Linked DNA regions of Tamandua tetradactyla. The protein of the gene in region 2 interacts with the protein of the main gene of each other region in a pairwise test. Links are inferred from orthologs where the notes say so. Each region holds a gene or a part of one and is shown on either strand. Other genes may lie near its edges.

Region 1 (11,321 bases), on a different chromosome or scaffold from region 2:
AAAAATCAACCCTTTCTCTTGAATTGTTTTGTAGGTTTTGTTTCTCCAACAATTTCTTAGGAGTAGGTACTATGTCCATTCATATTTATTTTTCACATCATCTGACACACTGCTGGAGTCACAATAGGCATGCTATATTTGTTGGCTAAAGCATGGAAACTGATTTTTAAATAGCCATATTCTCTATTTTTTCCTTATATTTCTCTATACATTCTGAATTTTATGCAGTGAGCATATATTCACTTTAGAATCAGAAAAAAGAATATAAAATAAATTATAATCTGAGATAATCTATTTTTAGAAACTTCACCAATTCCAAGGCATAGAACAGGCCTATTGTTAGGGTGTTGTCACTGCATTCTAATCTGTTGTGTCCTCAGGTTCAAGTGGTCCTCCAATTCTGAAAGAGAAAACCACAAAGAGATGGTGACTCTACTCTCACCAACTGGAACCACAGCATAAAAGCTGTACAGAAAGTCATTTTATTAGCTATCTTGGAAAAAAGGTTCCCTTTCCAGAGCACATGGCCTGTGCAGATCCTCTGGTCAGGGTAGGCACTGCAGGATGGCTGTGATTTTCAAAAAGCTCCAGCTGCCCCTCAAAAAAGTAAAAAACTCCTATTGAATCTTTGCACCACCAAATCATATTATCATAAACCCCACAGATTTATTTATCAGAACTGAGGAGTCATGCTAAGAGCTTTGAGTGGGAAGATACATCCCACACACCCTCATCCCAAATCATCCAGTGCCAAGAAATGTATTCAACTCTATCTCTATGATTCATTCAGTTTCTCACCGTTGGTCTTTATCTAAACTCTTATCTCATCATACTGTCAATCTTCAGGAACTTGCCTCACTCACACCTAACAACTAAGTAAAATAGCTTTAACTTTTAATATTGCTTGATATTTGTTCTTTTTTGTCATTATTATTATTTTTTGCTTTAAAAAGACTAAATTCACCTTCTAAAATCTTCAAAAACTACCTAGCAATTACTCAAATATTAGACCATTACCATCACTTTATGGGAGGCCTAAGTTAAGGGAAGCCATTTTTTTCTAGCTCCTACAGATAGGAATTCTGTGTATCTGTTGACTCAGTCTAGGACTTGTTAGAAATCTCCAATGAAATGAAAACACTTCTCCATCTGATCACAAAATGTCAATCACTCATCTAAAAATCTCGGAGCCGATTTTTCTTCCTTATAAAACAAGGGACATCTATCCTGTACAATTTTCAGTTAGATCTCAAAATCACAAACTATAGATTTAGTGGTGTGATCTGACAGGAAGATGGATGCCAAAGATAAACGTATATGAACTAGAACTTTACTAATATAATTCTGAACTCAGAAATGAAGTTATTACATTATTTAGGATCTAAATTTGGGGACTGAAATCCTAGATCACTTTCAAATTTGGAAAAACAGTCTAGCTTATTTTAGATGGCTTACTAATTGAAATGATATATCTTGTTTGGATATTCTGTATGTATCAGAAATCAACTCCTCCCAGATAAAAAAGTCTTTAAGTTCTGCCTTTTAAAACAAAGTTAAATATATCAGTGATTTTTCCATGTACTTCCACTGCCTCTCTAGATTAAAGAAGAGTCTCAAAGCTATGATCCTGTCATCGTTTCATTCTTTCCCTAGCACGGATATTTTGGCTTCTCTTATCTAGCCCTTCCTCTAAGGGAATGCTATGAATAAAGAATGTGGTGAAGAACCCCCAACAATATTTCATCTCTCTAGGAAAGCAGGAGAAACTAGTGATGAGAACCAACATTCAAACTGTCGCCACAGAATGCAAACAGACCAGTATTTCTGAAATGTGTCCAGTTTATTAAAACCAATTACCTTAATCTCTTTGAACTTGGGTTTCCTGACTCCAAATCCACTCACTTTCTCCATTAAACCATACAACCTTATTATATTCCTCAAAACATTTCAGGATACATGAGGGCTATGCTTTTTTGACCACCATTTCCTACTCTCTATAACAACCTGTATGTGTGTACATCTAGCCCTGACATATACATCTATACTATACTACTGTCTTCTTTCATAAGGATAATCAATACCTTCATTCCCATTCCCTAATGAGTGAGGAAATCCACCATACTAAGACAAGCCTCTTCCTGGCAACGTGGGACAGAAATCCTAGAATGAGTTGACACTCAGCATCAGGGGACTGAGAAAACCTTCTCGACCAAAAGCGGGAAGAGTGAAATGAGACAAAATAAAGTGTCAATGGCTGAGAGATTCCAAACAGAGTCGAGAGGTTATCCTGGAGGTTATTCTCACACATTAAATAGATATCACCTTGTTATTCAAGATGTAATGGAGAGGCTGGAGGGAACTGCCTGAAAATGTAGAGCTGTGTTCCAGTAGCCATGTTTCTTGAAGATGACTGTATAATGATACAGCTTTCACAATGTGACTGTGTGATTGTGAAAACCTTGTGTTTGATGCTCCTTTTATCTACCTTATCAACAGACGAATAGAACATATGGAATAAAGATGAATAAGAGGGGGAACAAATGTTAAATTTAGATTGAAATGCTGGTGATCGGTGAGGGGAGGGGTGGGGGGTATGGTATGTATGAATTTTTTTCTGTTTTCTTTTTATTTCTTTTTCTGAATAGATGCAAATGTTCTAAGAAATGATCATGATGATTATGCAACTATGTGATGATATTGTGAATTACTGATTATATATGTAGAACAATGATCAAAAGTTAAGAATGTTTGCGTTTGTTTGGTGTTTAAAAAAAAATTCCGAAAAATAAAAAGATTTTAGTCCTGCAGATGAGTAAAAAATATGGATTAAAAATAAATATATAATAGGGGGAACAAACATTAAAATAAATTGGGTAGAAGGAAATACTAGTGGTCAATGAGAGGAAGGGATATGTATGTATGAATTTTTTCTTTTTATTTCTTTTTCTGGAGTGATGTAAATGTTCTGAGAAATGATCATGGTGATGAATATACAACTATGTGACGATATTGTGAGCCACTGATTGCACACCAAGTATGGAATGTTCATACATTAAGAATATTCGTGTTGTATATTGATTGGTTTTATTAATAAAAAATTTTTTTAAAAGATTATAGTCCTGTACATCTTGCACCTAATCATTTTAACAAAAAAACACAGAGCTCTGCTTTGTTTGAAGTTGTCATCACTTCATCTCGAAAATTAGAAATTACTTGGCAGGAAATTATTCTATGTCCCCCATAGTGTGCTCCCCCCACGCCCCCCCAGTGCCTGAGAGAATGCCTGGTACTGAGACTTAATTCCTCTTTTTGATGCTTTCTGACAACACTCTTGCTCTGTCACATTTATACTCTTTAGGACTCATCGGCCATCTAGCTAGAAAATAATTCATTAAAAAAAATTATACATCACTTTTCCATATTTAATCTTAATTGTTTAATGTTGAATTAATGTAACCAAAGCATACTTGGAGAACATGGAGTAGAATTTTGTACAGGCTTGCTCTCAAGAAGGGTATGGAATAGTGCAGAAAATTTTTACGACTGTCACAAGCACGATATACTAAAGAAAGATTCTGGCAAAGTTATCTCTATGCTCAAGTCTCCCGCCCTGTGTTAGCTGTGTGGAACCGGCTAGAAGCATAAAAAACACCCGCTTACAGCTATATGCTATATACCAGCAATACAGAGATTTCCACGGTCTTATAATGCTCTGGACTCTACCTATCTCTCTAACCTCAATTCCTACCGCTTTCAGCAAGCCCACGGTAATCAGGAAGGAAGGAACCGCGAGAGCAGTGGCTGAAGGGACGACGGAAAAAAATGCGGAAACAGCACGTAGCACGCAAAGCTTCGTCTTGACTCGAACGACATGGCGACATGTCCGCTCAAAAATCAAAACAGTCTTTAAGCAAGGGAGTGACAGTCGTTAAGAGTGAAAAGCAGGAACCGGGATGAAAGCGGGGCGCAAAAGAGGCAGAAGAAAAGCCGCAGAGAACGGATAGGGCCGCTTGAGATCGGACTGAGAAAAGGAAGGCCTTGGTGGATAAGGACTTGGTGGATCCAGCGTGGCCCATGAGCCCAGCCTGGGACAGGAAAACCCCACCGAAACTGTCTAAAGGAGCCTAGGGATCAGGGAGGGAGAAGTGCGGCCCGAAGGAGGATGCGAAAAAGAGCCAGAGCCGAGAGCTCCCGGCGTGCCCTATCAAAGCTTCTCCTCAGCGTCCCCGCCAAACCGCTTCGGAGGTCTCCCTACTCCCCCGGATCGCCCACTTACCGAACGAATTGAGAAAGTCCGCGATTTTCTTGATGCTGCTGGTGATGACCTCAATGTACTCCCGGTTTGCCCAATCCTGGTGAATCTCGCGCTGCACCGGATCCTCCTGGCCCGCCATGGCGGCCGCTGAAGGGAGAATAACTGCGCAGGCGCACCGTCCCTACAGGCCGCCAGTGCGCCTGCGCTGCCAATCAAACCCGCTGCCTTGACTCCCACGGACTCCGCGAGCACTGTGGTGCGTCTGCGCAGTGTTAAGTCCTCGGCTGCGTTCTTGCTCTTCTCCCACGCTCGGGAGAACAGATGCGGCGACTCAGGCCGGGAGAGTGGAATACGCACGTGTCAAAGCTACCCTGTAACCCGCCGTTGTGGTCGTTAGAAGGCGCTTGGGCCAGTGTCACCAGCTCTTTCATCTGCTCCAAACTAAGGAGGCGCAGTATGTGTCAGCAGTGAGGTGGGCACAGCAGTTTAAACCACACTACATACAAGTCATTTAAAAAACGTTTCCAACAACGCAACGTGACATCCCTCCTTGTATATATCAAATTAACAAAACGTGTTTTTAAAGTTAAATAACTAGTGATGGCAAGGCTGAGGTGAAATTGGTAGGATCATAAATAGTTGATCACATTGTCCCTTGAGAAGGAAATTTGATAACTGCCGTTTGACCTAATATCCTTAAGAAAATCATTGAAAAGGAAAAAAAAAGAAACCACAAAATAACTTAAAGCTTAAAGGTGCTCTTTGAAGAATTATCAAAACAAAATAAATCTCCAGCAATAGGGAATAACTAAGCAAAGGTATAGCCACTTAAGGCAACACCATGCAGTCATTTAAAAAGTATGGTAATGTGAAAACATGATACATTAAAGGGAAAAACAAAATACAAAATTTTCTTTCATTGCTGCTTGAGGACAAGAAAGATATACCAAAATGTCAATATCTGATTTGTTAAAATAATGGAATTGCAAACTTTTTGTTTCAAGGAATATTTACAATCTGATTTGTGCTGTAAAAGCCTTTTATTAAAAAGTGGCTGAAGAGTCATTTCTTCTAGTAGTAGCTGAGAAGAAACCATTACTAACAGTCCTTTACTTGGGTGGAAGATTTTACAACCTATAAAGACACTTTTATATAGCATCCTCACAAACCCTTTGAGAAGTCAGGAAGAGGTTATGTTATCATCATTTATTTATATAATTATTTTCTGGAGGACACATTCATTTTCAAAGCTAAATCCAAGACAGGTTATAAGGCACACCCAGAGAAAATAGTATTGTTATTTCCCGAAGAGAGGTTCTATACCTTGAAATAATTTTTTTCAGGGTATTAGTAAGAAGGGCTATTCATGCAGAACAATAATAAAAATAAATAACAATAATAAGCAAAGGCCAAAATTTCAGGCACATGAAATATGAACATATTGTCTTCACATTTATTTCAAGTTGACTTGATTAAGTAGATACATCCAGGTATATCTAGCCACATTAAGCAGTGTAATTTTTCAGAGAATCTCTGATATACTTAGAGAGAAGGGTAACTTCAGGCCAAAACATTTTATTTCTTCGGGAAATAACAAGTTTAGTTCATGGGAAGATGGTTGAAATTTTGCTTCATGGCTTGTGTTTTCTGGAAAACGAAGAAATAAAGCATGAAACCTAAGAATCCTTTCCTCCTTCTCCTGGCTCTTCTCCTCTCACCTTCCTCTTTTTTTTTCCCCCTTCTACTCCCTCCTTGGTATTTTCCTCAATCTCTTTTGTCAATGTCTCTCCCTCTTCTTCTTTTGGAATTTGAAGAGGTTGCCCCCATCTTCATCGCCCTCGTTTTGTGTCTTATTTTCTTCACATTCTTCATCCTTCCTCTGATCCCTCTGTGGTGCTCTGCTGCTACATCACCACTGGGAAGGGAAGATGCTTCTTTGAGTGATTTCGCTGCCTTTATCATATAAATTGAGATTGATCTGAGAATTTTTGTGAGGGTAATAGTTTACGTTTCAAAATCTTTTAACCATTCAGGTATGTGTATCTTCATCCCTCATCTGATGTTTACAACAACCCAGACTCCATTATCTTTTCACTGTACCACACTGAAAATAGGCTCAAGTCTATCCGAGCTCTTCCACATATTCACACAAATCATTTCTAAAGTAATTGATATTGACAACTAAGGAGCCCTAGGCACCCATGAAGGCCCCCTTCCAATCAAGACCCCGCTTTTCCAACTGATGCTGTTGAAGTAGTATATGGCTCACATGCCTCAGAAATCAGACAGACCTTTTCCTTTAAAAGGAAGGCCATTTCGGTTTCAAATCTCAAATCTAGAGATGAGTCTTTTTACCCCCCTGAGCTTTCGCTCCTTCAAGTGTATTACTAAAATAACAACCTCAGTGGGTTGGGACTGTTGGAAGGATTATGCAAGCAAGGCTAAAGTAAAAACTAAGAACAGAGCCTAACGAAGCAAAGGACTCAAGATAAGTTAACATTTTCTTCTTATGCAGAAAGTAGCAATAAAATACACCTATAGCTGTCCAGCAATTTCTAACCATACAGTGTTGTTTTGGAGACTTTCATTAAAAAAAAAGGCAATAAAAACAACTGTTTTGCCTGCTTTTTAAATATCAGGTATCTCTCTTATTCAAGGGGAAAATTAAAAAAAAAATTACTGGGGGAAAAAGTTTTGTAATTAAAAAATCTTTTGCATCTCTTCCAAATCTCATCATTCTCCTTCCCTCTTTCCATTTTTTGTCTTCCCTCTAACCTCTTTCCACTTACCTCTCCTGCAGGGCATGCAAACATGCACAGTGAGCATCTGACAATGCTTCACAAGCTCCTTAAACCTATCTGCTTCCTGGCCAGGATCTATCCTTCAGCTTCACTTAAAGAACCAGAGAAGGAGACAGCCCTTATTTTTGCTGCCTTCTACAGCTTGCAGAGTACAAGGCAATTTCTGGGTGTATAATGGAAGAGCAGGTAGGTAGTTAATTTCTCTCACAAATACTTCATACTGCCAGGCACTGGGACTCTGAAGGTGAACTGGTTAGATGTCCCTTCTTTCTTTGGTGACCCAGGATAATTGTTTGAGATGATGTTTTACAAAGTTGTCAAATCACTCTTTTACTGTGGTGAAAGTGTCATCTTTTACCATTGTAAGGATGGGACAGGATCATACTTTTCGAGATGTAATAGAAGGTAGTGAAAGGTTTTTGGTCAGAAAGTGAAGGAAAGACGTGTTATCATCTATCTTCTTGCTTTTGATGGCCTGGCGTTTATGAAGTTCTGTCTCCTTGTACTGGGATCTTTCCAATACAGCAACATACAGCTTCAGAGCCTAGATAAACTACCTGAACATCCACCGAACAGGGTGTAATGTAAATCCGGGGCTTTAATTCTGGTTCCTGACCTCTCAAGCGTGCCAGTCTTCTGTTCCATGTGTTGGAATGGATGCTGAGATTGAGACTTGATCAAAGGCGCACAGGCAGGGAGGGGTGGTGGGGAGAATGGGGAATCGAACCCGCGCTCCTCAAGGCTCAGTCCCCGGCCAAGGGTTCCCAGGAGATGGGAGTGGGGAGATCAGCCCCTAAGGCCGTCAGCTGGCGCGCCTCGAGCCCTAACCTCCCCCCCCCCCCCCCCCCCCCCCCGACCCCCACGCCGCGGCTCAAGATCCCGGGTCACAAAGGCGGTTGCCAGGCACCCGGTGGAGAAAAGATGCGGCCCGGGACCGGCGACCGCCACTCTGGAGCGTGGGCCCACGGAGTTCAGGAGGTGAGCCCCCGGCCCTGATGGTGGCACCGGGCTCGGGCTCCCACCACCACCTCCGTCTTGGCCAGAGCCGTGTGGCCCCCGCCCCCCGGTAGGGATCCCCGGGAAACAAGCCCCTTCTCCGGGCTGGGAGGGGGTGCCGCCTCCACTCCCGGCAGCTCCGACCTCTCCAGATCTCCGTTCACAGTTCACGAGGACCTCAGCTGCACTTTGGCGCTGTCCTTCCCTTTCCCAGGTGGGGAAATCAAGGGATGGAATTCCTTGAACGGGAGGAGTGGTAGGAAGGGGAAGCCTGTTTGGCCAGAAAGAGGCATCTCTTCTCTGGGAGACATTAGAGCAACTTGAAAAGACTTCCTAGGTTCACCACCTCCCACCCCCCGAAGTAGATGATGGGACTTCCGAATGGTGGGGGTGGGGATGAACTGGTAGAAAGGCCCTGGAGTCAGGAGCCCTTCATTCCGCCTTGGTTCTGCCGAATATCTGTGCTGGACCTTTGATAAAACCTTGCACCTATTTCTCTATTTTGTCAGAGGAGATGAGTTGGGAAAAGGATCCTGGAATTAAATGTGTTTTTTAGTCATATGCCGGGAGGAGTTAAGAAACCACCCATAATGGTGTCTACAGAGTAGCCCTAATCTTGGATATATGCTCTTATGCATGATATCATATGCATGAGATCAAGCATCATTTCATAGCTTTTTTTTGGAATAGACAACTGTCCCTTGGATGGCAGGCTCTTCTCATCCTAGGGCAGCCCAGATACTTGAACAGTTAGCATGTGCAAAGTGTCTGCATAGAGGATTAGAAACACACTAGTTGAAGAAAATCAACAAACCTCCTTTACACTAACCATTGTCAGTGGAGGGCTTCTAGTGTGAAATGTCATGAAGAGTTCTTTTTAAAACATCATCTCTAAGGTCTCACAAACTATGGTGGAAATGCCAACTTTTCACAGAATTTCTGGGCCAATTACTGGAGAGGTTGGGATCAAACCTGTCACTGTTACCTTTTGTGGGAGAAGAAAGGAGTCAGGGCAATATACTTGGCTAGAAAGAAAAGGTATCTGCTGTGTCCCTTAACATAATAGGTAGGTGCTGAAAATGTGTTAGCTCCTACTGAATTCAGAAAAACGTTTTTATACTAGCAATTTTGAAGTGTAATGATGGAAAAATTCCAATTCTATTTGGATAAATTCTGCATTAGCAATATGCTCCAAGCCCTTGGAAGATTATCTTCAAAGGAAACAGAAAACTGAGGTCTTAAAAGATATGGTGGGTCTCCCCATAAATGAGGAAAAAACACACCTAGAAAATAGAAAAAATAATTTTAAAGACTGGCCTTTGGAAACATTTTTTCCCTCCCTTACTGCCCTTTATAGAATCACTAACACACTAACATCTATTGAAATAGTTCATGGGAACTACAGAGTATAAGTTTAAATCACTAATGAAACAGATGTGAATGTGAATGGCCATGTCCTCACCAAGCATGTCAGGGAAATCCCATGCTCTGATTCCTCTTCTTTAGGACTGTCAATGGCGGGATACCAGCTCTGGTCACCATGGACCCCACTGGACGAGAGTTTCCAATGGCTGCGGCACACAACACCCACACCCTCTTCCAAGCACCCTTTTAGGGCCTCTCCCTGCTTCCCACATACTCCTTCTGACCTTGAAGTGCAGCTGTGCTTTCAAGAGGTCACTCTAGTCCTAGACAGCCCATTCCTGGAAACTGGGGTGAGTCCCAAATTACCCTGCCACACGTCAGAGCTCCGGGCTATGAACAACAAGAAAGGGCTGTTAAGGAAGCCCCAGCCTGTCCGTCTCAATGGGGTGGATTCTGTGTTTGGGAGGGTTATCACAGCCCAGCCACCAAAGTGGACTGGGACCTTCAGAGTGTCAGACAAGTCAGCCTTTTGCAAAATCATCAGCCGGGAACACCAGTGGCCCACTGGACTTAAGGAGCCTCAAATTCAGATGACAGTGACCATGTGCAAACAAATGCTGCGTTCTATCCTCTTGTTATATGCAACATACAAGAAGTGCACCTTTGCCTTGCAGCACTCCAAGTAAATGGTCTCCGTCTGATTCCTAATTCCTCATGCCATGTCCTTTGGTATATAACTGAAGCTTACAGAAAAATGTTCATGTGACCGAAACTGTGACATCACCCCAACCATCTTGCTTTTCTGTCAAGCCATGACAATTCAGAAGCCCCTTTCCTACCTTCCCCTCCAAAACAGGGCCAGTGACACAGAGCAAGAAAGAACATCTCCATTGTAAAGTTGAACAACTATTTAAAAGAGTCAAACTAGTGTTGACATGTACATGTGATAAAGAACCATTAAACAAACTATATAAAACAATGAGCCTAGTGGGACTTTACTTAAATGCCTAAGACTATAACCGTTCTGGGGGGAGAGGTATGAGAGAAGGGGATATATGGATTTCTAGGAACCAGAGGATGAATGGATCAAAAATCTACATGCAAGTCAAGGATTAATTTAAAAACAAACATATATCTTCTCTTCACCAAAACTATAAAACCCTCAAAACCAAAAAAACAAACCTACATAACCAGCTATACCCTAAAAACACTAGAAAGTACAAGGGTAGATATAATTTATTAACATATATTAAACAATATTCACAGCCTGGCAAAAAAGAACTTGGTAGTAGCACTGAAACTAGGCTTTCTGGCAGAAGACAGAGTTTCCCATTTTAGCTAAAGTATACTCCTAAATATTCGATTTCTAATAAACTATAAGTAATTTTGAGGTGTTCTTATAAACAGATTATAGGTATAACTCATAGAATAATGTGGAAATAAACCTTATATAATCACAACATGAGTTTGATAGTGCCTTTTTTTCTCTAATACTAACATGATGACAAAAACAAAAAACAAACAAAACACCCCAAATATTCCTCGTTGACTTCCTTTGGGCATGAACAAAACATTCAAGTCACTACTTCAAAAAGATCACAAAGATCTCATCTCAAATAAAGATGGTCCTAATAATAGAATATATGATTTTAATAGGTAAAACTGATGTGTTAACACCTGTCTCCATTATTTCCCTGAATAAACCCCAATTCAATGCCATCTAATCCTTGAACAGTGATAGGAGGAATGAGATAGCTGAGACAGAACACAAAAGGGAATTTATTTGTAAAACTGGTACAAGTTTAAATTCTAAAATAATTTCAATAGTTTCAAAACTAGCTCCCAAGGCTTAGAATCTTGTATCTCAGGTTCAGCCAAAAAAGTTTTCACTCTGCAGCACAGTG
Region 2 (10,803 bases):
AGCTGTGCCCCGAGCAGGGGCAAAGTGCAAGAGACCCCCTCGGAGCCAGAGTCCTGGCTGGAAGGGGGGCAGCCAGGGACCACCACCCCAGGGGGCCACAGCAGGCTGGAGGCAGGTAGAGAGTTGTCTGGGGGAGGCTGGGAAGAGACGTCCTGGGGCTGTGCTCGACGGGCCCCTCTGCTCCCACAGGCAGCTCCATGTCTCCCTCGCGGCCGCCAGGAGGCTTTACTGTCACTGTGCACCCGAAGGAAATCCGCACGTTCTTCATCCGTTTTCGGGAGGAGTGAGCCCTATGCAGACGCCCGTGGCTCCAGGCCTGTCGCAGAGGCAGAACCGAATGCAGGACATGGAAAGGCAACGTGGAGGGGGCAGCGAGGCAGAGTCCATAATTTGGAATAAGCTGCAGATCTGGCTGGCTATCTGCAGGAAATGATCATATCTGGAGTTCTATTTTTTATTTTTTTAATAAAAATCAAATTAAAAGGACTGATTTTTTTCCCGTCCCACTTCTGAGCCAGCACCCCTCTCCCATATGTGACATGTTCACACACACGTCTTCGTTCATTTACATAAGTCAAAACCAGGAAGTCCTATTGAAGGCAGAGTGCAACACCCAGCCTGCTCCCAAACGTCTCTGCCACCCGGCCCCTGCTGGGTCTCAGGGAGGTGCAGGCTCAACAGTGTTCCCAAGGGCCTGTGTGCTGAGTGCCCTCACCTCCCTCCCGCGCTGGGACCCGCCCTGCAAGCTACCCAGCTGTGCCTGCTGGACAGGGGTGGAACCTGGAGCACCGAGCGAGGAAGGTGCTTGTCCCAGGCTGCTGGATACAACGAGGCAGGGCTGGGACTTGAACTCAGACTGCAGAGTGTGTGTGCCCCACCCGTGCCGCAGAGGTGCTGCCTGCCAGGCCAGAAAGGCACTGCAGCTGTAGTGTGGGTCCCCTCAAGAGACAGAAGCCACACAGCAGGTGAGAGGTAGATCAATATAAAGAATTAGTCACTGTGATGAAAGAGTAACTTTCACTCTCAGGTATATGCCCAAGGGACTAGAAAACTTATGAGCACACAAAGTCTGTCATGCAGATGTTCACAGTAGCATTATTTCACAATCGCAGCAAGGAGATGAAAATTTAAAAAACCACAGTGAGATCCCACTTCACACCCAGTAGGATGGCCAGAATCATGAAGGCGGAGGATAGCAAGTGCTGGTGAGGATGTGGAGAAATTGGAAACCTCCAGTGTTGCTGGGAGGAATATGAAATAGTGCAGCTACTTTGGAAAATAGTCTGGCAGTTCCTCAAATAATTAAACAGAGTTAACATTCGACCCAGCAATTCCACTCCAAGGCACCTGTTTTAGTCTCCTGGCTGCTAAGGCAAATACCATACAATGGGTTGGCTTAAGCAATGAGAATTTATTGGCCCTCAGTTTTGAAGCTAGGAGTCCAAAATCAAGGCAGCTTCAAGGTGATGCTTTTTCACAGAAGGCTGTGGCACTCTGGGGAAGGCTCCCAGAGACCCTGGATCCTTGGCTTTTCCTTCACATGGCAGTGCACACGACAGCATCTTCTCCTTTCTCTTCCACGTTCCATTGACTTCCAGCTTCCGGCAGCTCCCTTTGGCTGTGTGTGTGTGTGTGTGTGTGTCTAAATTTCATTCTGCTTATAAAAGACTCCAAGAATAACATTAAAATCCATCCCAATTCAGCTGGCCATCCCTAAACTGAAGTGACCTCAAGGGTCCTATTTGCAATGGGTACACAACCCCAGGAATAGATAAAGAACATGTTTTTCTGGGGTATATAACTCCAAGCCACCACAGGAGGTGCCTCAAAACTTGCAAACAACCCAAATATTGCAACCCTCACCTTAGTATTTGCAGATAGCAGGGATTCTGCATAGGCCCTTGGAAAGGCTAAGACCATGGCTAAAACCCCAATGATAGATGACTCTCAGACTTTGAAATCCAATGGAGTCTGCCCTGAAGAATTTCAGAATTGTATGTGTCCAATAACCCCTGTGTCCCTTCCAATTTCTCTCTATGGAAATGAAAACATGTATCGTATGACTGTCCTTTCTTTGTATATTGGCAGCAGATAACTTGTTTTGTGCTTCACAGGTCCACAGCCAGAGGCAATTTTTTTTCCTTATAACAGACCATACCTATATACAACTTTGATATTTCTTATAGTTTCTGATGTTGTATCACATTTGTATTGTTACAGAAATGGTTTAAGGCTTTTGTGATATTGTGATTGAATGAATGTATATTGTATTTGGATAGAACATGTCTTTTTGGATGCCAGATGGTGGAATATGCTGGTTTGAAACTGTTATGTGTTCCAGAAGAGCTATGGTTTAGTCCTGATCCAGTCAGGCCAGGGCTATTGTTTAGGGTTGAAACCTTTGAGAAGATTGTTTCCATGGAGATTGACCCACTCAGTTGTAGGGGTGAACTTTTGCTTGGATTGTTTCCATGTTTATGTGACACACCCAGCTGTGGGTGTGACCTTTTGATTAGATGGAGATGTGCCTCCCACCTTTAAAGTGGGTTTTGATTTGTTTATTGGAGTCTTTAAATGAGGCGACAATTTGGAAAAACCTCAGAAGTGACAGAGCCAACAGAACCAACATGGGATCTAAACATTTGGAGATGCAGAAAATAAATGGCCCTGGGAAAGCTGTTTGAAACCAGAAGCCACACAGCCCAGCAAATGCAAGCCAAGTGCCTTCCCAGCTGACAGAGGTTCTCAAAACATCAGCCTTTCTTGAGTCAATGTATATTTCTGTGGATGCCTTACTTTGGACTTTTTATGGCCTTAGAATTATAAATATGCAACTTAATAAATTCCCTTCATAAAAGCCAAAAAAAAAAAAAAAAGACAACTTACAAACAAGTGTTCAAACCAAAACAGGTACATGGAGGCTCATAGCAGCATTCTTCATAATAACCAAAAAGTGGAAACAGCCTAAATGGCCCCCAACAGATGAATGGATAAATGAGATATACCCACAAAAGAAATTAGTCGGGTGCTTGCTTCAGCAGCATGTGTACTAAAATCAGAACCATACAGAGCAGATTGGCATTGCTGCTGTATGAGCATGACTTGGATATTCATTGTGCCAGTTTGAAACTATTAGGGACCCCAGAAAAGCCATGCTTTAATCCTGATTCAACTTGTGAGAACAGGCCTGTTGTCTAGGGTGGGAAACTTTGATTGGATTGTTTCCACGGAGATGTGACACACCAGTTGTGGGTGTGACCTTTTGAGTAGATGTAGATGTGACTCTACCCATTCAAGAAGGGTCTTGATTAGTTTACTGGAGTCCTTTAAAAGAGGAAACATTTTGGAGAGAGCTCAGAGCCAACACAAGACCCAGACATTTGGAGATGCAGAAAGAAATGCCCCTGGGGAAGGTGTTTGAAGCCAGAAGCCAAAGGACCAGCAGCCATGTGACTCCCAGCTAGACAGAGGCGTTTTGGACCCATTGGCCTTAGTTTGCAAGCTGCTGGAATGCGATCCCAGAAAGAACGACTTTTAAAAAGAGGGATTTACAACAAATGGTGCTGCAATAATGGGACAGTCACATGGAAAAAGAATGAAATGTGACCCCCACCCTACAGCATACAAAATAAATTTTTTAAAAAGTGTGGGGGGGGGGTAATTTATTAAGATGCAAGTTTACAGTTCTAAGGTCGTGAAAATGTCCAAATTAAGGCAAGGTTATAAAAATGTCCAAACTGGCCTGGGGCTGCTGGTCATGCAGCAGGGGAGAGCAGATGAGCAGCAACCCCAGGAAGGTGGGCTTGCAGCGAGAGTTCAGGCCAGGGCGGGGGCCCTTCAGAGCAGATGGGTACCAAGGGCATTGATTTCCACATCAGGAAAGGTCATGGTCAGGTCAGGGCTGCAGAGGGACCTGGTGGATCTGAGGCAGAGGCAGCTCCCCTGATGCCCCCGCACCCACTCCGCTGGGCTGGACAGGGCCAGAAACAGCACGACAGCCTCTTCCTCCTGCAGCGTCCTTCGGGCACCTCGACTGAGAAACGGGGCCTCCCGCTTGTGTTAAAGGAGAAAGACTTGCACCCTAAAGTATCCAGGCTGTTGGGGCCCGATGGGTTTCCCAGAGTCGAGACTTCTTCAGATTTTAGAAAGATGACAAAGTTCACACCCTCCAAAGGGGCTGGGCACCTGTGATCAAACATTCTGCAGTGGACACAGAGTTCACACTAACTGGGGTAAATAAACACCACGAGCTCCCTCGTATACCTTCATGCAAATTAAAATAACGAGACACCACTTCACACCCACCAGGATGGCTATTTTAAAAAGCAGAAGGTAGCAAGTGTCAGGTAGGATGGAGAGAAATAGGACCCACTGGACACTGTGGGTGAGAAAGTAAATTGGCGCAGCCACTGTGGAAGACAGTTGGGCAGTTCCTCAAAAACTTAAACATAGAATTACCGTATGTCCCAGCAATCCCACTCTAGGCAAATGCCCCAAAGAATTGAAAACAGGGACTTGAACAGGTATCTGTACACCAGTGCTCATTGCAGCATTACTTATAATTGCCAAATTGTGGAGGCAACCCGTGTCCAAATTGCCAAATTGTGGAGGCAACCCGTGTCCATCAACAGCTGAACAGATTAAAAAAAGTAGTACATACAATAGAATGTTATTCAGTTGTAGAAAGGAATGACGTGCTGGTACCTACTGCCACACAGATGAACTTCGAATACAGCAGGTTGAATGAAATAAACCAGACACAAAAGGACAAATATTGCATGGTATCTCTTATATGAAGTACTTAGAATAAGTAAACATTTCTTATTACTTAGTAAAAGTAATGAGAGCAGAATCATGGTGACCAGGGCAGCAAGGAGGGTGGGGTGTGAGCTTCTGTTTGGGATGATGAAAATATTCTGGAACTCTATAGTGGTGGTTACACAACATTGTCACTGTAAACTTAATGTCACAGAATTGTATACCTAAAAATGATTAAAATAATTTTTATGTTATGTTTATTACAATAAAAAATTTAAAGGTAATACGTGTAGTAATAAAAATCACAGTGGAAATCAAAATTTATTTTTAACCAAATGATAATGAAAATCCAATACCAAAAGTTGTGGGACGCAGCTAAAGCCATACCTGATAGGAAAATAAGATCTTAAATATTAGAAAATGCAGCATAGCTATTACAAGGTGTCAACAATAGAGTGGTATATGGGAATAAAAAGCACCTAAAAACTACAGACTATAGCTAACAGTTATATTTTAATATTCTTTCATCAACTGTAACAAAGGTACCACACCCATGCTAAGGGTCAATAATAGGTGGGGATAAGGGGTATGGGATTTTTCTTTTCAGAGTCATGAAAGTGTTCTAAAATTGCTTGTGTTGATGAATGCACAACTCTGCGATTATACAGAGAGCCGCTGGTTGTATACTTCGGATGGAGTGTATCGTGTGTGAACATATCTCAAACTGCTTTATTTAAAAAAAAAAGCATTGAGTTAAAAGTCCAGCCTAAGAAGTTGAAAAGGGGACAACAGAATAAACCAAACACAGTAGAAGGAACAGATATTAATAATTAAGAGAAAACAAAGGCATGACAGGGAGCAGGCCGGGATGAAAGCTGGGCAGCGTGGCTTTCTGCCTTGCCCACAACTGCCTCCCCGACGGGGCCCACACCAAGCTCACCCCAGGGAGGTGATGGATTTTTGCAATCCATCCAACTGGTGGGGTGCCATTTCTTTATATTCATACAAAAAGCTTATCAGCATTACCGCTGCTTCTGGTAAATCAATAAAACTCAAAAGTTGGGTTTTCGTTAATAACAACAAAAGTATAAGAAATACTAAAAATCTGAGAAAAGTCTGTTTGGTGTTTACTACGCGTTTTTAGGACTTCTCTTAATCCTTAACTCTGCCTCATTCAAAACAGGGGCTTGGTTCCATTTAGCTAACTGGAAAACAAGCTGTGATCACTGGGTCAAGAGGCCTGGGTTCATTTCCTTCAAAACTGGTTGCGTTAAGTCAATATTAATGCAAATTTCCTGCGGGGCAAGTTCTGCTCGGGGCGCTAGGGACCCAGCGCTGGGTAGCACGAGCCCCCGAAGGGATCGGTGAAAAAGCAGAGCTTGGTAAAAAAGTCAGGGAAACCTTTTTCGGTATAACTCAAGGTCCAGGTCCGGCAGAGCTGGAGCCTCGGGATGGTCACACCAGGCTTTCTACCTTTGGGGTGTGGGAGACTCGTCTGGCTAAAGGATACCCAGCCACACGCGACTGTGAGCCACGGAAGAAAATTAAACTTTAAACCGGCTAAGCGGGTGGCGTCAGGCTACTGCACCCAGGGGAAGGGGCCGAGAGCGCCTTGAACTACATCGCCAGGTTGGTCCCCCTCCTCTGGCGTAAGGAAAACAGAATTGACATCCTAAAGCGCGTCAAGACCGACGCCCGAGAAGTCCTTTAGGAAGGGGGCACGGGAAGCACCCCGAGAGGAAGAGAAAGGACCGAGAGGAAGAGAAATGACCGCAGCGGCAGGACGGAGGAGGAAGGAAAATGCAGTGCGTGCGCGTGCGTGCCTGCGTACGCACAGCCGCGGTGGCGGGGCCGCGTCCTCCATTAGCCACGTGCGCGCGCCCGCACCTTTTCCCTACCCGCGGCGTGGCCGTAAAGGGGCGCGGCCGTGCCGTAAAAGGGGTCGCAACCCGCAGAGCGCTGGTTGACGGCCGCGACTCCATTTTGTTCGCGCTTCTCTGCTCCGAAGTCGGTAGTTTCCTCGGCGTCTGCGAGGCGAAAAGTTTAAAAAGGATAAAAGTTTTGAAGAATTTTCTGGAACTCTGTCGACAAGCACAGTCGCTCTCCACCTGAATCTCTCCGATCGACGTCGATACTGCGGCTCTGAAGTAGCGGGAAAAAATGCGGCCTTTGGACATCGTCGAGCTGGCGGAACCCGAGGAGGTCGAAGTGCTGGAACCCGAGGAAGATTTTGAGCAGTTTCTGCTCCCAGTCATCAACGAGATGCGGGAGGATATCGCGTCTCTCAACCGAGAGCACGGGAGAGCCTACATGCGGAATAGGAGCAAGTTGTGGGAGATGGACAATATGCTCTTCCAAATAAAAACCCAGGTGGAGGCTTCGGAGGAGAGCGCTTTGAATCATCTCCAGAATCCCGACGACGGAGTCGAGGGTAGAGCGACGAAAAGATGCGAGAAGGCCGAGGAAAAGGCCAAAGAGATTGCGAAGATGGCAGAGATGTTGGTGGAGCTAGTCCGCAGAATAGAGAAGAGCGAATCGTCCTGAAGGGGAAGCGACGGTAAGGCCGGCCGCCCGTGGGAGCTGGGTTGACGCTTTAAACTGGGTCACATCTCTCCGAGAAAAATTATTTTCTAGCCACCCACGTGAGGTGGATATTCAGAGGAAGGGAAGGATAAGAGCATGCTTGACTTGTAACTTTGGTCCTAGTTGATACCATTTACGTTTGGGTAGTTTTGGTTTACTCTGGTAACTAGGGAAAATAAGTTGTGTATTTTTTGTTTAGTTATTTTGGCTTGGTATGTGTTTGGTTGAAACCAGAGGTCCCCACCAGTAGACTAGAGACAGAGTAAGATAGAGTAAGCCTAAATATCACGAAGGGAACAGAAACAAACACATGATACGCCATCGAAAGGCGTGGGGGGATAGAGATAGAGAATTACGAGAGATGTCCGGTATTGGACAATTCCAAATTTTGCTGGAAGACTGGAAGGAGTCAAGTGGCATTCCAGAGGAGGTGGCACCCTTGCTGATTGAATTTTTTGAGGGTTTTTGGTTGGTTTGGCCCCAGAATTAACCTCTTGATAAATTTCTCTCAATTGTGCTTTAGGTTTACAGCCAATGGATTCTCGTCACCTGATGGAGATTGGCTGACACCCTGGAGAAGCTGAAACCAGAGAGCCTTTTGTTTTCTCTCTTTTTTCCTCTGTCTGCACTCTGTCCTCAATTACACTACGTTTTTTGCTATGGTCTGTGGTTAATGACCTCAATATAAGTTGATTGTTAAATAGTTTTGTTTCTGGAAATAACTTCATTTGTAAAATGCTCGCACATAAGGGAATTAGGGCCTAGATTGTAAACTCTTGCAGCAGTGACATTTGTTCCTGGGCTTCAGTTGTTATTTCTAAATTTTGAGGTACTTTGCTCTTTGTTTGTGGCCTGGTAGCTCCGTGGAACTTTGGGTGTGTTTGTGACACCTGAGACTCGGAGTTGGAGCTCTCCAGCTCTGGAGGTACTCAAGGAGCTGCATTAATTCTGCAAGACGAGTCCATGCAGCAGCTGCTGAAGAAGCTGAAGAAGGGATCGTACTTCAACTGGGGGTGTGACTGGGGCTGATCTGGTTAGAACTAAGGTAAATCAGAAAGCAGGGTGGAGGATGGTATTGTCTGTATTTGGGGACTTTAGTTTCTGCGTAAGACCAAAGGAGGAGAGATTTATTCAAATTTTAAATTTTCTGTCACACACTATTTGGTGTAACCTGTCTAGTCACTTTGTTTGGACAACCTAACTCAGCTTTGACATGGAACCTGGATTAGGGGATGAAAACTTGGTATTCTGTGCAGGTTGATGTAATTAATTCCCTGATACATTCTGGAGTGTTCTGGGCATAAAATGAAAGAACTATTTGCAAAGTCCCTTGAGGGACTGGGAAAGGAAAGCAGAAACTGTATGCATTGGACCCTAAATTGGATAGAGAAGAGGCTGCCTCAAGGTTCACAAATTGTCCAGCTTATAAGTTCATTTGAATAACAGACCTGACACAAGTATTTGAGGTCAAAACCCTACCTGTTAAAACAAACAAAAAACTTACTATGTTAATAAAAGTATTCATTTGCTTGAAAAGACAAGGCCTAAAAAGTTAATTTGTTAAGAAATGGATGTTCTTTCAGCATGAAATTTTTCTTTGGTTGGTTGGTGTTATCAAGTGGGCCATGAATTGCTTACTGTTTACAAGGCTCTCCGCATGTTTCTGATTGTTGGGAATGATATACTCTCCGCATGCTGCTGTGAGAATGGGTGTGGAAAGAACAGGCTGTTCTTACTGTAGAAGGAAGCTCATCTGATCCTGTGGTCCAGGCCCCTGCTTTCAGAGAACCAAAGTACCTACAGTCATCTTTCATATACAGACTGGAGCATTTTCTACTCTAATCCTTGCATTAGGAATATGGGGATAAGATATGTTCATGGTGGGATGGGATAAGACATAGAATAGAGGTGGTGTGATGCCCCAACCCTCAGGATGAAGGTCTTATTCTCCCAGCTGCTGCAAGTGTTGCTGACGGACTGTTCTTGGTTAGCCCTCTAATGGACTGGTGGTGTAAGGGCTCTATCCCTCTCACCACAATGTGGGGCAACCTCGAAGGGCTTCTTAGCTTCCTTGGGGCATGCTGAGACCTTCCTTGGGACTGTATCATAGCCCAACCTCTACCCAATGCTGCTTCCCTTCCCTTCCATTGGTATTAATCCCAGTAAATTTACCTGCATTTTAATCTTCATTTCAGAGTCTACTTCCTGGGGAAGGAATCTGTTTGTAAAAGTACAAACCAGTAGAAAACCATGTGTCACAAGCTCGGTACAGATACATGTCATGTCTCAAGAGAATACTGAACCGGGAATCTAGGAAAGGTTTTTCAGAGCAGATGGTTCATGAACTTGGCCTTGAAGGATGAGTATAGCTTTCAAGATCGAGAAGAGAGTGAAAAAGGGAACAGAAAAATGACAGGTTCCGAATCTTCCATGTGAGTTCCAGTAGTGGGGAGAAGTGGATAGGATGAAATTATGAACCAGGAAACAAAAATGCTGCATTTGTCTAAACTTAAGAAATTAACATTGCTACAGTACTACTAACTAGATTGTAGGTATTACTCAGATTTCACCAGATTTCCACTGATGTCTTTTTTCTGCTTCAGGATCCAATCCAGGATATCACATTAAAACAGATGGCACAAAATTAAAAAACAAATAAGAATGAGCACCCCCCCAGAACATTGTTACTCTTCCAAAACAACTATTACCAGTTTCTTGTATATTTTTCCAAATATGCATAACTTTCCCAAGTTTTTTTCTTTAAACATAAATGGTAGTATACTAAATGCACTGTTACATTCTTTGATAGTTTTTTTCTCCCCTTACTTAAAAATACAGCTTGGAAATCTTTCCCATCGCAGTATCTGGTTCTGCATTCTTTTTTATAGCTGCACAGTATCCATTGTTTAGTGATTTTTAAGCACATACAAGTTTGAAAACTACTGTCTTCAGTTCTCTTCAATAACTCCTGAATTGGTTGGAACTGCAGTGCAGCCACAGCTTTCCAAATTCCCCAGCTCCTGAAATCCTTCCTCTCAGCTTGCTGGCAGTTGGAGGAACAATTGAATAGTTTGCATTTTGCATTTTCTAAGTAAAGAATTTGATAGGAGCCATTGTGAGGGGCAGGGCTGTATAGTCATTTAATTGGGTATGGCTGGGGTGACCAGGTTGTTGGTTATAGAGCCACACATCCCTCTCAAGCCCCAGGCTGTCCCTTTCCTGGCTGTCCTGCAGAGGTCAGGTCATGGATAACTACAGAAAGGCCAGTGGAGGGATTGTTTATTGGATGAGTTCCCGATAACTGCAGAGGCCACCTCAAGCTGGAACCTGTCTGCAGGATTTTGGTGTTTTGGTTGTGATATGTCCTTCGGTATCAAACTATAGGAGGAAGCATGGGGACTGGGAGCATAGGGGCATCACCTAACCCAGGCTGGGAGATGATGAAAGGCATCCAGGAAGAGA

The links.
Region 1: the proteins of MRFAP1 (region 2) and BRK1 interact in binary tests that used the Homo sapiens proteins (3 or more experiments, as listed by UniProt). The link is inferred for Tamandua tetradactyla from reciprocal best matches to the Homo sapiens genes MRFAP1 and BRK1.

What each region holds. Positions count from the first base shown.
Region 1 is NC_135335.1:39,041,618-39,052,938, forward strand, and holds the start of BRK1 (protein BRICK1), read right to left. Parts: upstream 4,439-11,321; 5' UTR 4,395-4,438; coding exon 4,277-4,394; intron 1-4,276. Other genes in the region: FANCD2OS (FANCD2 opposite strand protein), read left to right, coding at 9,567-10,103. UniProt on the Homo sapiens protein: Involved in regulation of actin and microtubule organization. Part of a WAVE complex that activates the Arp2/3 complex. As component of the WAVE1 complex, required for BDNF-NTRK2 endocytic trafficking and signaling from early endosomes.
Region 2 is NC_135345.1:6,303,169-6,313,971, reverse strand, and holds MRFAP1 (MORF4 family-associated protein 1), read left to right. Parts: upstream 1-6,713; 5' UTR 6,714-6,918; coding exon 6,919-7,302; 3' UTR 7,303-7,315; intron 7,316-7,864; 3' UTR 7,865-8,882; downstream 8,883-10,803. Other genes in the region: MAN2B2 (epididymis-specific alpha-mannosidase), read left to right, coding at 190-287.